Linked DNA regions of Xenopus tropicalis. The protein of the gene in region 2 interacts with the protein of the main gene of each other region in a biochemical or structural test. Links are inferred from orthologs where the notes say so. Each region holds a gene or a part of one and is shown on either strand. Other genes may lie near its edges.

Evidence for each region. The genes of interacting proteins can lie anywhere in the genome.
Region 1: the proteins of xrcc1 (region 2) and aptx form a complex in vitro, tested with the Homo sapiens proteins (2 studies listed by BioGRID). The link is inferred for Xenopus tropicalis from reciprocal best matches to the Homo sapiens genes XRCC1 and APTX.
Region 3: the proteins of xrcc1 (region 2) and polb form a complex in vitro, tested with the Homo sapiens proteins (5 studies listed by BioGRID, with this or other methods). The link is inferred for Xenopus tropicalis from reciprocal best matches to the Homo sapiens genes XRCC1 and POLB.

The regions. Positions count from the first base shown.
Region 1 is NC_030677.2:94,471,890-94,476,169, reverse strand, and holds the end of aptx (aprataxin), read right to left. Parts: intron 1,746-4,280; coding exon 1,642-1,745; intron 1,089-1,641; coding exon 934-1,088; 3' UTR 501-933; downstream 1-500. UniProt on the Homo sapiens protein: DNA-binding protein involved in single-strand DNA break repair, double-strand DNA break repair and base excision repair.
Region 2 is NC_030683.2:118,935,119-118,938,618, reverse strand, and holds part of xrcc1 (DNA repair protein XRCC1), read right to left. Parts: intron 3,195-3,500; coding exon 3,087-3,194; intron 2,610-3,086; coding exon 2,451-2,609; intron 2,163-2,450; coding exon 2,088-2,162; intron 1,611-2,087; coding exon 1,493-1,610; intron 826-1,492; coding exon 713-825; intron 254-712; coding exon 115-253; intron 1-114. UniProt on the Homo sapiens protein: Scaffold protein involved in DNA single-strand break repair by mediating the assembly of DNA break repair protein complexes. Negatively regulates ADP-ribosyltransferase activity of PARP1 during base-excision repair in order to prevent excessive PARP1 activity.
Region 3 is NC_030679.2:130,625,430-130,628,929, forward strand, and holds part of polb (DNA polymerase beta), read right to left. Parts: intron 3,257-3,500; coding exon 3,205-3,256; intron 2,586-3,204; coding exon 2,531-2,585; intron 1,821-2,530; coding exon 1,748-1,820; intron 1,252-1,747; coding exon 1,181-1,251; intron 1,034-1,180; coding exon 947-1,033; intron 1-946.

The DNA of each region.
Region 1 (4,280 bases), on a different chromosome or scaffold from region 2:
GCAAGTGGAAAAACGCTTGCTGAAAATTCCGCCCTATGCCTCCTACTTGTGCCTGCACCCGAATGAATGGAATATGCTCTGGTGCAGGCACATGTAGCGGAAATACGCATAACAACGCGAGGTTTGAAAGTCTCGCATTTTATGCGTATTTCGGCACCCGAGCGTATTCCATTCATCCGAGTGCAGGCACATGTAGGAGGCGTAGGGCGGAATTTTCAGCAAGCGCCTCGTCTGGCATTAGCCTTAAGCTTTGGGGTGAGTCCTGAGCAGCAAATCTGCTGGGATTGGTCAGGTGACACTGCAACACGCAGGACTGTGATAGCCCTGCCCACAGACATGTTTAATATAGCCAACTTCTGAAAAAACATTTAGTAAAGAAAGGCAACCTGTAGTGCAGTGTTTCAATTAATTAACTCAGATAACACCTGCTGATCTGTAGCCAAAAGGTGGAACGTTAAGAATTTGTGTATTGTAACCCATCTGGCCCTGTTCTTTTTCTATTTTTTTTTTCATGGCACATATTATATACCTGCATTCTCAAACAGAAAAGAAGCACCCCAGTGTGGCTGCTCAGTCTGTCTTAGAATGAAATCTGCATGACATTAGAGTTGATGTGGATTTTGACAGGAAAACACATTTATACATTTTCTGCCAGAAATCAGTCTAGTGACAGATGGATTCTACTGAAGCAAATGACAGACTGGATGGCCAAACACAGGCTAAAAAATTAAAATACACCCATGTGGCAAGGATGCTTTGGAACTGTCCGCCCTTTTAGTATCAGTTTTTAACTAACCAAACAAACAACAGAAGCCCTAGCAAATGAAAATGGATATTAAAAAGGGCACACTAGGAGTAGAATGTATTCTTTTGTATAAGCAAAAGTTTCTATGAGAATCTCCAAAACCAGGACTACAATAAAATACCAATATATTATGTTGGCCAGTGCTTCTTTAAGTGCTCCTTCAGTTGAGGCATATTTGCTTGCTCCTTCCTGCAAATGTGGCACATAAGAGGAGTTTTCAGAAGCTCAGACACTCCATCTTTGACGTTGACTTTGCCATGTGTTTTTATCATTTCAATCATAGCTTACAAAAAAAAAAAAAAAAAGGTTTAGAAACCCTTTTACAAAGACTTGATGAACAGTAACAAATTAAAATATAATGTAATGTTGATCTTCACTGGTAAAATTGTGCATTATCATCAGATACACTACTATAGTTCATACAAATAAGCTGCTGTGTAGCCATAGGGGCAGCCACTGCAAACTTGTTTTGTTTGGGGGAACAGCCTGGACTGTAAAGATTAATCCTAATCGGTAAAAGCTCGGTTATATTGGTTCCTGGTTTTATATTCTGCTTTTTTGTCATTATTCTGTCTGGTGGAGTTAAACTCACAGTGTGACCAGGGGAAGTTGTATGTATTCACATATACTGGGCACTAAATGAGTTTTGAGTGCACCAGGACACAGGAGGCTGTGTAGTTCAACATATTACTTTTTCCATTAGAAAAATGAGCTGCATGCTCGCTGTACAAATGTTTTTTTTTTAGATCACAAAATCAATTTTACTTATCACAGAACCCTTGAATATCTTCTAGATTTTTTTTCACAGAAGAAAATGAATATAAACAAATTCCTACCTTGGGATTCCAAAAAGTAATCCGTAGTGAAAGAGTTCCAGTGCTTTTTGTTTTTAAGGCAAGGGGAATCAAAGTCTTGGCTGATAACATGCAAATGAACATGGCTGAAATAAAAGGAGATTTTGTGATAATCACCGTTAAATCCTTTTCTCTCAGGAAGTCTGTGGGACACAGGGACCATGGGGGTATAGTAGGTACCAGCAGGAGGCAGGACACTAGAATAGGAAGAAGAGGCCTAACCCCTCCTCCCTGCTGCTATACCCCCTTGCACTTCCTGCCTTCACCAGTTTTGTCAACAAGAACCAACAAGGTAACGAGTAACTAGTAACTATATACATGTAGGCAGAGAGAAGTTCAGATGTTTTCCGCTTCCAGGGGGGGAAGCCCTGTGTCCCACAGACTTCCTGAGAGAAAAGGATTTAACGGTGAGTATCACAAAATCTCCTTTTCTCTAGCAGTCGTCTGTGGGACACAGGGACCATGGGGACATACCAAAGCTGTCCCAGTAATTCAGGGTGGGAGAAGCGGTCTGATATGCTAAGTATTAATTGACTGCCGCTTGTAGAACTTTTCTACCAAAGTGCGCGTCTGATGCTGCGAATACCTCAAATTGGTAGAATTTTGTGAATGAATGGATGGAGGACCAAGTAGCGGCCCTGCAAACCTGTTCAGCTGAGGCTCTGTTCCTGAAGGCCCAGGAGGTGCCTATGCCCCTGGTGGAGTGCGCCGTGATTTGTGTGGGGGGAGATCTCCCACGGGCGATGTAGGCTCTTCGTATGGTTTCCCGTATCCAGCGAGATATGGTGGTCTTAGATGCCTGGTGACCTTTTCGTTGTCCTGAATGAAGGATAAATAGAGAGGTCGTCGCTCTTATGTCCTGGGTACGGTGCAAGTAGAATTTTAGGGCCCTCACCGGGTCCAGGGAGTGTAAGGCCACCTCTTTGGGAGAGGCTGGATGAGGACAGAACGAGGGAATGGTGATGTCCTGATTTATGTGGAAGGACGAAACAACCTTGGGAACAAAGGATGGGAGGGTTCGTAGAACTGCTCGATCCGCGTGGAATATGAGAAATGGATGCTGATTGGAGAGAGCGCTAATTTCCGACACTCTGCGAGCTGAAGCGATGGCCAGAAGGAAAACTGTCTTCCAGGTCAACCAGGCTAGTGGAATGGTGGCTAGTGGCTCGAATGGAGAAACTTGCAGTGCTGATAGTACTAGGTTGAGATCCCATGGCGGCAGCGGTTCTCGGAAGGGGGGACAAATGTGAGATACCCCTTGGATGAATGTGGCAACGTCGGGAAGGATGGCTAACCGTTGTTGGAAAAGGACGGAAAGAGCAGAGATTTGAGATTTTAAGGAACTCAGTGAGAGGCCCTTGTCCAGGCCTGACTGCAGAAAGGATAGTAGTCGGGGGACTGATAGGTCCTGGAAGGAATTTCCTGTCTGATTGCACCAGTCACTGTACGTTTTCCATACACGATGGTAGGTCTTGGATGAAACGGGCTTTCTGGCCGCCATCAGGGTGCGTATGACATCTTGGGAAAAACCTTTTCGGGCAAGGACTAGCGACTCAATCGCCACGCCGTCAAATTCAGGAAGGTTGGATCGGGGTGTAGGATTGGCCCTTGGGTGAGAAGATCGGGAGTGAGAGGTAGAGGCCACGGATCTGCTCTGCTGAGGGCCACCAGCTCGGTGAACCAGGCTCTTCGGGGCCAATGTGGAGCTATCAGTATGACTGTGCATCTTTCGGATCTGATCTTTCGGAGGACTCTTGGAAGCAGAGGGAGAGGTGGGAAGACGTAGGCCAGGTCGAAGTCCCACGTGGCCGTCAGGGCATCCGCTGCTAATGCTAGAGGGTCTCGACATCTGGACATGAAGTGTGTCACCTTCCGGTTCTGACGAGAGGCCATGAGGTCTACTTCGGGGAGACCCCATCGGTCCACGATGTCTAGGAAGATCTTGGGATTCAGGGCCCATTCCCCTGGATCGATTCTTTGACGGCTGAGATAGTCTGCCTGCCAGTTCTCGAGTCCCGGAATGTAGATTGCCGTTAGCCGGACGTCCCTTGCTTCTGCCCATGTTAGGATGCGACTGACCTCTTTGAGGGCTTGTCGACTTCTTGTGCCCCCCTGGTGGTTCAGGTATGCAACCGTGGTTGCGTTGTCCGATTGGATCTTGATGTCGCGCCCTGTGAGTCGGTTCTGCCAATGGTATAGGGCTAGGCGTACTGCTCTGATTTCCAAAATATTGATTGGAAGTTGAGCTTCTGCTGCTGTCCAGGTTCCCTGAGCTGAGAGCTGTCCCAGTACTGCGCCCCAGCCCTGGAGGCTGGCGTCCGTGGTTAGAATAATCCACTGTGGTTCCTGTAGGGAGCGTCCCTTCTCCAGGTGAGTCGGGTTGAGCCACCAAGACAGGGCCACTCTTGTTCTGGGTAACAGTTTGATTGGCTGGGAGAGGGAGCTGCGGTTCCATTGATCCAGAATGTTCCACTGTAGAGTCCTTAGGTGGAACTGGGCAAAGGGAACTGCTTCTATAGAGGACACCAGAGACCCCAGCACTTGCATGGCAAACCGAATGGAGGGCTGAGGAGTATGGATGAGCTGGCGAACTAGGCTCTGGATTCTGCCAATCTTTTCCG
Region 2 (3,500 bases):
CCCAGACGTGGAATTAAATCTCAAGGCTCACAGAAATCACGTGACAGGTACGCTGCTACTGTGTCCCAGCCTCAAGGTGTCATCCAAGTGAAGGAAAAAAAAAATTTTTTTTACCTTTTGGCTTTTTGGGTGCTGGCTGTGATGTGCTCTCTTTGGCGGAAGATGGGGACTTATTGACTTCGTGTTTCTTGACTGCCGAGTGGCTTGAGGGTTCTTTACTGAACTCAAACTTCCGTTTACCAGATGACGGTTCCTAGAGAGAACAGCAACTGCTCAGAACAAACTAGAACTTCACTGGCATTGGTCTTTGGATGTTAAAGGGGACCAATTCTTTGTATTTGTTTAATGAAAACATTGAGACAAATATATTTCCCCTCTTACTTTTGTCCATAAGCTCCTATGCTGCCGTTACCAACTCATCTTTCCAACTTGACCCTCAGTAAAAATACATTATTTCTTGCTGTCTGACCACAACCTTCCTTTTTAAGCTCTAGAAGACTTTCTGTAGTCTCAATCCCCCTATACGTAGCCAGCAAGGGTTATGGGTTAGTGCCCAAAGGGACATGGTGTAACATCTCTGGGACACAGCTGACAATAAAGCTGCCACATTTGGAACATCTGTAGCGCATACATGGGTATGATAGGTATACCCTATGCTGATAGAGGAGACAGAGGCGGTCGGTGTATCCATGCCCACACCCAACTTACTCACCTTTGGGATGTTATTACTTGGTGGGGTTTTAACAGTCTGTTTTTCAGTGCTGGAGCTGGCCTCTCCTGTGCCCTGTAATGTCGCAGACGCATAGCTTTGTGTGGCTGGTGGAGCTGTAAAAGAACACAATAGCTAAGTGGCAGTATAAAGGGAATAGTGTTGGAGGGAGAATTTAAAAACTCTTAGTATGTTATAGAATGGTCAATTCTAAGCAACTTTTCAATTGCCCTTCATTATTTATGTGTTTTGAATAACTTGCCACCTTCTCTATGGAGTTTTGAAAAGGGGGTCACTGATCCGGCAGCCAGAAATCAATTGCTCTGTTAGGCTACAGTATTATTGTTATTGTTACTTTATTTTCTATTCAGTCCCTTTCCTATTCATATATCAGTTTCTCATTCAAACCACGCCCTGGTTGCTAAGGTAACTCTGACCCTAACAACCAAATAACTACTGAAACTCCAGGCTGGAGAGCTCCTGAACTGAAAATAATAAAAAATGAAGACCAATTGCAAAATATCTCAGAATATCACTCTCTACATCATAGTAAAAGTTAACTCAAAAGGTAAACAACCCCTTTATAGCTGTTTTGCCATATGGTTGCAGTACAAGCCATGAAGTAAAGTAACCCTATGACTCAAGAGTTACTGTACCTGCAATGTACCTAATAGCGTAGGTAATGCAATGCACACAGTTTCTGTACAAGTTTCAGGGGCACTCACACATTTCAGAAAATAACTAATAGAGGGAATTACAAGGGATATGTGCAGAATAGCTTACTTTTCGGAGGAGTAACCTGCGGCTTGCTGGTGCGGCTGAAAAACAGACTCCCGGGACGCATAGAAGGAGATGAGTTCTCTTCTTCCTTTACCATAAACTGCCCAAGTTTGGTCACTTTCTGCAGAAGAGCATAGTAATGATTTATAATCCATGGCAGCATAAACACAAGGTGAACTTTCCTAAACCGGCACTGTTCAAAATTAGGTCAGCCTGTCATGTAAGCTGATGAGACAGAGCTGAATGTGCAGGGAACCAGCAGAAAAGAAGATATGGGGGGGGCTACTGGGGCATCTTTGGGGGCACAGATCTTCCCTGCTAAAGGGCTGTGGTTGCCTTGGGCCAACCACAAGTTCTGGGATAAGTGCTGATTTGCAGTCTTAGATATCACTGGAACTACAACCTATGAATGATATAAAGTTTTACATGTTAGTAACCTTTGCTATTAGGTAAGTGATTAAATGAAGACGGGATTAAAAAGGGCATGAGCAAAGAAATATTTATGGTCCCCTATATCACAGATAATGAATTGTTCCTTATGTAGAACCCCTTGTATTTGCTTATGTATCAGTCAAGCAAGCACAGGTAGAATGCATACCGGTGAGGGAGCGGTGGGCGAGCCATCCTCTGGAGGGGAGTTCAGACGTATGAATGAAATACCATAAGCAAGGTTCTAATGAGACAAGAGAACATGAAATGGTTTATAGAAAAACGTGCATCCAGCTATATACTAAAGGCTTGCCAACAAACTCCACAGAAATTACCACACTTCAGCAAAGGAAAAGTGTACTTCTCATGCCTGATCCGCACCCAACCTGAACCCACAACGGTCGCCCAAATTTCAACTCTAACTTACCTGACCTCGACCCACACATCACAACAAATACTAATTGTATCTACATTCTGTTTGTTAATTATATATCCCACAAAGCTCTCCGCTCTGTAAGCAGACACTGCACACCTTAGTGTAGGGTTGGGTGCACACAATCTTCACCCGATCCCATTTCTTTTCAGCTGCTCCTTTCACGAGCTTGTCTGGTCCGAACATTCGCAGCCGATTCAGGTTGCTTTCATTCTTGCTCTCGCTAGGAGACATGAACGATGACATTCCCAGGAGGACCTATGCAGAGACAAGCAAGATGGGAATTGGCACATCAGGTCTGTATTCCTCACAACTGTACTAACTTGCTATCTGCATTTACATTCTGTGAGCTCTGGAGAGTAAAATGCTATAGCAAACTATCCCTAAGCAGGAACACACAGAGTTTTCGTCACTTTCTTCACTGACTCTATATCATTAATCACAAAGCGCTGAGGACACGGTATTGTATTTACCACACTATCCCTAAGTATGAGATTGGCCCTGGGTAGTTGATGGTGTCCAGAGTTCTCCTTAACCAGCAGCACCCCCATCCTCAAGGAGCACGACCAACTTAAATGCCATTTCCGTTTGCTAAATGTTTAGGGAGCTTTACAGACATAGGATGCTCTCGCTATAGCCTGTGCTTTTTCTGCCTCCATATTAATGGTAATCTTTTTTACTTTAATAAACAATCATCCCAACCACTGCATATGGCACTATAGGTACCTGCCATACCTCATATTCCTGCTCGCTGATTGAAGTGGAGTGTCCGACCAGCACTTCCACAAACGCAGAACCTTCATTGCCAATATCAATGCTGTGGACCTGCTCCTCCTTTTCAAACTGCAGAAAATCAAAGGCACCAGAGTAAGCTGAGGTCAGTACCCATGCACGTATAGGCACACACGGCATGAAATTAGAGCAGTAATTATTTTTTATTTCATTTATTGCTGTTATTTATATAGTGCAGCTACATTTCCGCAGCGCTTTTACAGAGATTATTCATCAGTCCCTGCCCCAGATCTTACAATCTAGGGTCCCTATCACATTCACACACACTATGGTCAGTTTAATCAGAAGCCAATTAACGTGCCTGTATGTTTTTAAAGTGTGGGAGGAAACCGACGTACCCAGATGAAACCCATGCAG
Region 3 (3,500 bases), on a different chromosome or scaffold from region 2:
CACGTGGAAGCCCATAACCTACAATACAGAAAGAAAATCATTCCAGTGAAGCCCCACTGAGCATTTCAGCCATATTATAGGCTCAGGGTGGCATGTCTCTGTGGGCTTTCACTAAACTGTGCCTTGCCACCTAAAACTAATGTTACACGGGTGACTTTTCCCACCTAGTAAAGGCATAGGAAACCCCCCCCCCATACTGATTTTAACAGTGCTGCCCCCCCCAACAAAGGCTCCCTGCAAAGTGCATCAAGAGCTGCTACCTACAGCCCCATACTCGGCCTAAGAAAGCAGAGTAGGATGGTTGAAGGACACCATGTCTGGCCACTTCACAAGCAGTGTCCAGGCTCACAACCAGAAGAATGTGAACTGGAAACCAGGTCCACATTGGCTTTTACTGTGCATGTTCCTCCCAAGCAAACACCACCTGGAAACCTAAACTTATTAAGGAGCCACATGTGGCAGCAGGCAACCCAGCATTGCTACTCTTTGTAAAAACAAATTGTGAGCAAGAGGGCAGCCAATGCTGGAGTACTTGATGGGGTGGGTGAAATGGGACCCTTTTTTAAAAAAAATAAATAAATAATATGGGTGGGTTTCATTGTCCCACCTGGATCACAGAGCGGTATAAGCACATTTCTTTGGATGCCAGTGATATATGAGCAATAATAACACAATACCACAGTAGTTTAATTTTCCAGATGTTGAACCAAATCTACCTTACCCAAAACACTAAAATAAAATTCTAATACATCACATCCCAAACTGTGGGTGCCAATGATCTGCTGTGCAAGAGATTTTCTATGGCTGCTTGGCTGATCCAGTGTTTTCATATGAGCCAAGGCTGGAGCTGACAAAATGCCTGACTTCATAGGGGCTTGTACTTCATAACCTTCACTGCGGCCATGAAACAACTGTGTAAATATAAAAGAACAGTTTAGGACAATACCATAAATTTTGTGTCTCCCTTTACAAGCGTGTCTGTGATAAACTCGCATTCTTCCAGGCATTGCACGACCTGACGCAAAAGGTGTGGCTGGGAAGAGAAAGACAGAAAATATCATTAAATCCTCACCTGGCTCTTCAATGGTTTATGCTGCGAAGCAAATATGGCAGCTTCACTGGAGCACAACGGATTTAGGTTTAAAGGTCACAACTAATGGGACGATCATTGGTTTCTGACCTGTTTGGCAGATTCCGAAGTGAAGTCTGGGTGAGTCAGGAGAACGTCCATATCCCCACTGGACTCTGCACCTGGAAACAAACATGGGGGAAAAGGAGATGTTAAAAAGGGAGGTCACGTTCTTGTGTAAAAAAAAAAATGTAATTGCTATCTGGTTGCTGGGGTCAATGATTCCCGGCAACCATAAAGAATAATTAATTTTTAAATAAATAAGGTTTCTTTCCAGTCGCTTTCATAATCATCTTCCTTTCCTATACCATGCCAGTATAGCCACTACTTAGTGGGTAGGGAACTGGTGAAGGGACGCCCAGAAACCATACATAATATGAAAAGAAATATTAAAGGGGTAGTTCACTTCTAAACCAACTTTTAGTATGTAACAGAACAGCAACTTTTCAAATGGTCTTCATTATTTATAGTTTTTAATTTTTTTTTTTTTTTTAAGATCCCCTTTAAAAGGGGAAGGACTAACATAGTTAGGTCTTGGAAACAGAAGGACAGATTAGAAAAAGGGTTGTGTAGAAGTGTAAATAGGCACAACAAGAACCAGCATTTTAATATATACACCTCGTCTGAAGCTTCCACACACTGTGGCGATGTACTGAGGGTCCAGGATTTTTATTCTATCTATAACTTTTTCCTGCAAGAAAATAAACAAACATGGTTATTTAGACAAACACAAAGATATATATTTATGCCATAAGATCCATGATAAACCGAACAAAAACATCCAACAAATTATTATTGCTATGCTCTTTTTTATACACAGAGCTTTACAGAGATTATTTGGCATTTACATCAGGCCCTGCCCCACTTCTGGGGTGTACAGTACACTCTAATTATGCCACTGCTCCTATCCTGTAACTCTCCAGCCCTTTCATGGCAGTCAAGGTGTCTGATGGAATTTATGACTACCTCGCCTTGATGGTGACCCTGAGTATTACAGCCAAACAACTTGGATGGTTTTAACCTATAGTACAGTATATTTCCCCTGCAATGAAAATATTCCACAAGTCAACTGACCAAATCACAATCATGACACTGCCAATCAGAGGTCAGAAATATATCTAATTGGTCAGTTCTAATACAGATATCCCACACGCCATGAACTGGGATATCAGTCTGCCTCTTCATTTTTGCCAATTAACACTTGGGTGATCACAGTTTGATGGCCAAAGCATCATGGGGGGCCTCATTAACCTATGCTCATACAATACAGTCAAAAATTATGGTTAGAAATGTACTGGCAAGTATAGGAAAAATAAATAAAACATGCTTTGGTGATCCTATCTGCACTAGCAATGCTGTATGGGAAGTGCTCAGTACGGTAAAGATATATGTACACAGTACCTGCATTTGTATCATCTCCTTACGCGGGATCCGTTTCTCAAAATCATCAAAGTATCTGCAGATACAAAACACATGCTTTAATAGTATCTATATACACATGAACAATCCCTCTGTATCAGGGAACTATCATCTCACTCTCTGTTGTGCATAGGACCTGTCAGTGGTGGAGTGGGGTCACTGACACTCTATGAATGACTGGTAGTGCCAGCACTTCTGTACTGTTATTCCTTCTCTCTGTATTAAGGTGGCCATATACGTAGCGATTCTGATCTTTCGTGCAACTGACGTTCAGGGCTGAATCGTCAGATATGGAGGTAAAAACAACAGAAATTATACCTCCCCCTGGCGATTCAGCCCTGAACGTAGATTTTGCTTGGGCGCCTTCAATGGTGCCCGATCAAAATCTTCTGACCTGGCCAATCGATCAATATATGCAGCCTTCTGCGTTATCGGTTGCCTCTTCGAGCAGTCATACATGCACAGAATATTGTACGAAACAAGGTTTCGTACAATATTATTGGTGCATGTATGGCCAGCTTTAGTCTGCCCGCTCTTCCCCACCATATTGTGCCTGTACCAGACTGTATGAAAGCACCAGTTCTTCCCGTAACTTAATGCAGTCTCTGATGTGCCTGCATGCACGGATTATATCATTTTTTCACCATTATACTCACTTCAATCCAATCTTCTGATGGTGATTCAATTTATGCTCATTATTTCTGAGATCTGGAGAACAAGAGAACAGGATTATTTATAGATGTGACATGGATATGGGCATCAACCTTCTCTCCTGTACAATTGAAACATTGGACCATGTGAAAATAAACCCTTTAAATATGTGACTGTCAATAGTGATAGACTGTGGAATTACAACACATGCATTTAGTTACAACCTTTAGGCCCTGGCCAGAAAGGAGACTCTCACATTAAGCAAAAATCTTTAAAGGAGACCTGCACTGCCCCCCTCCTT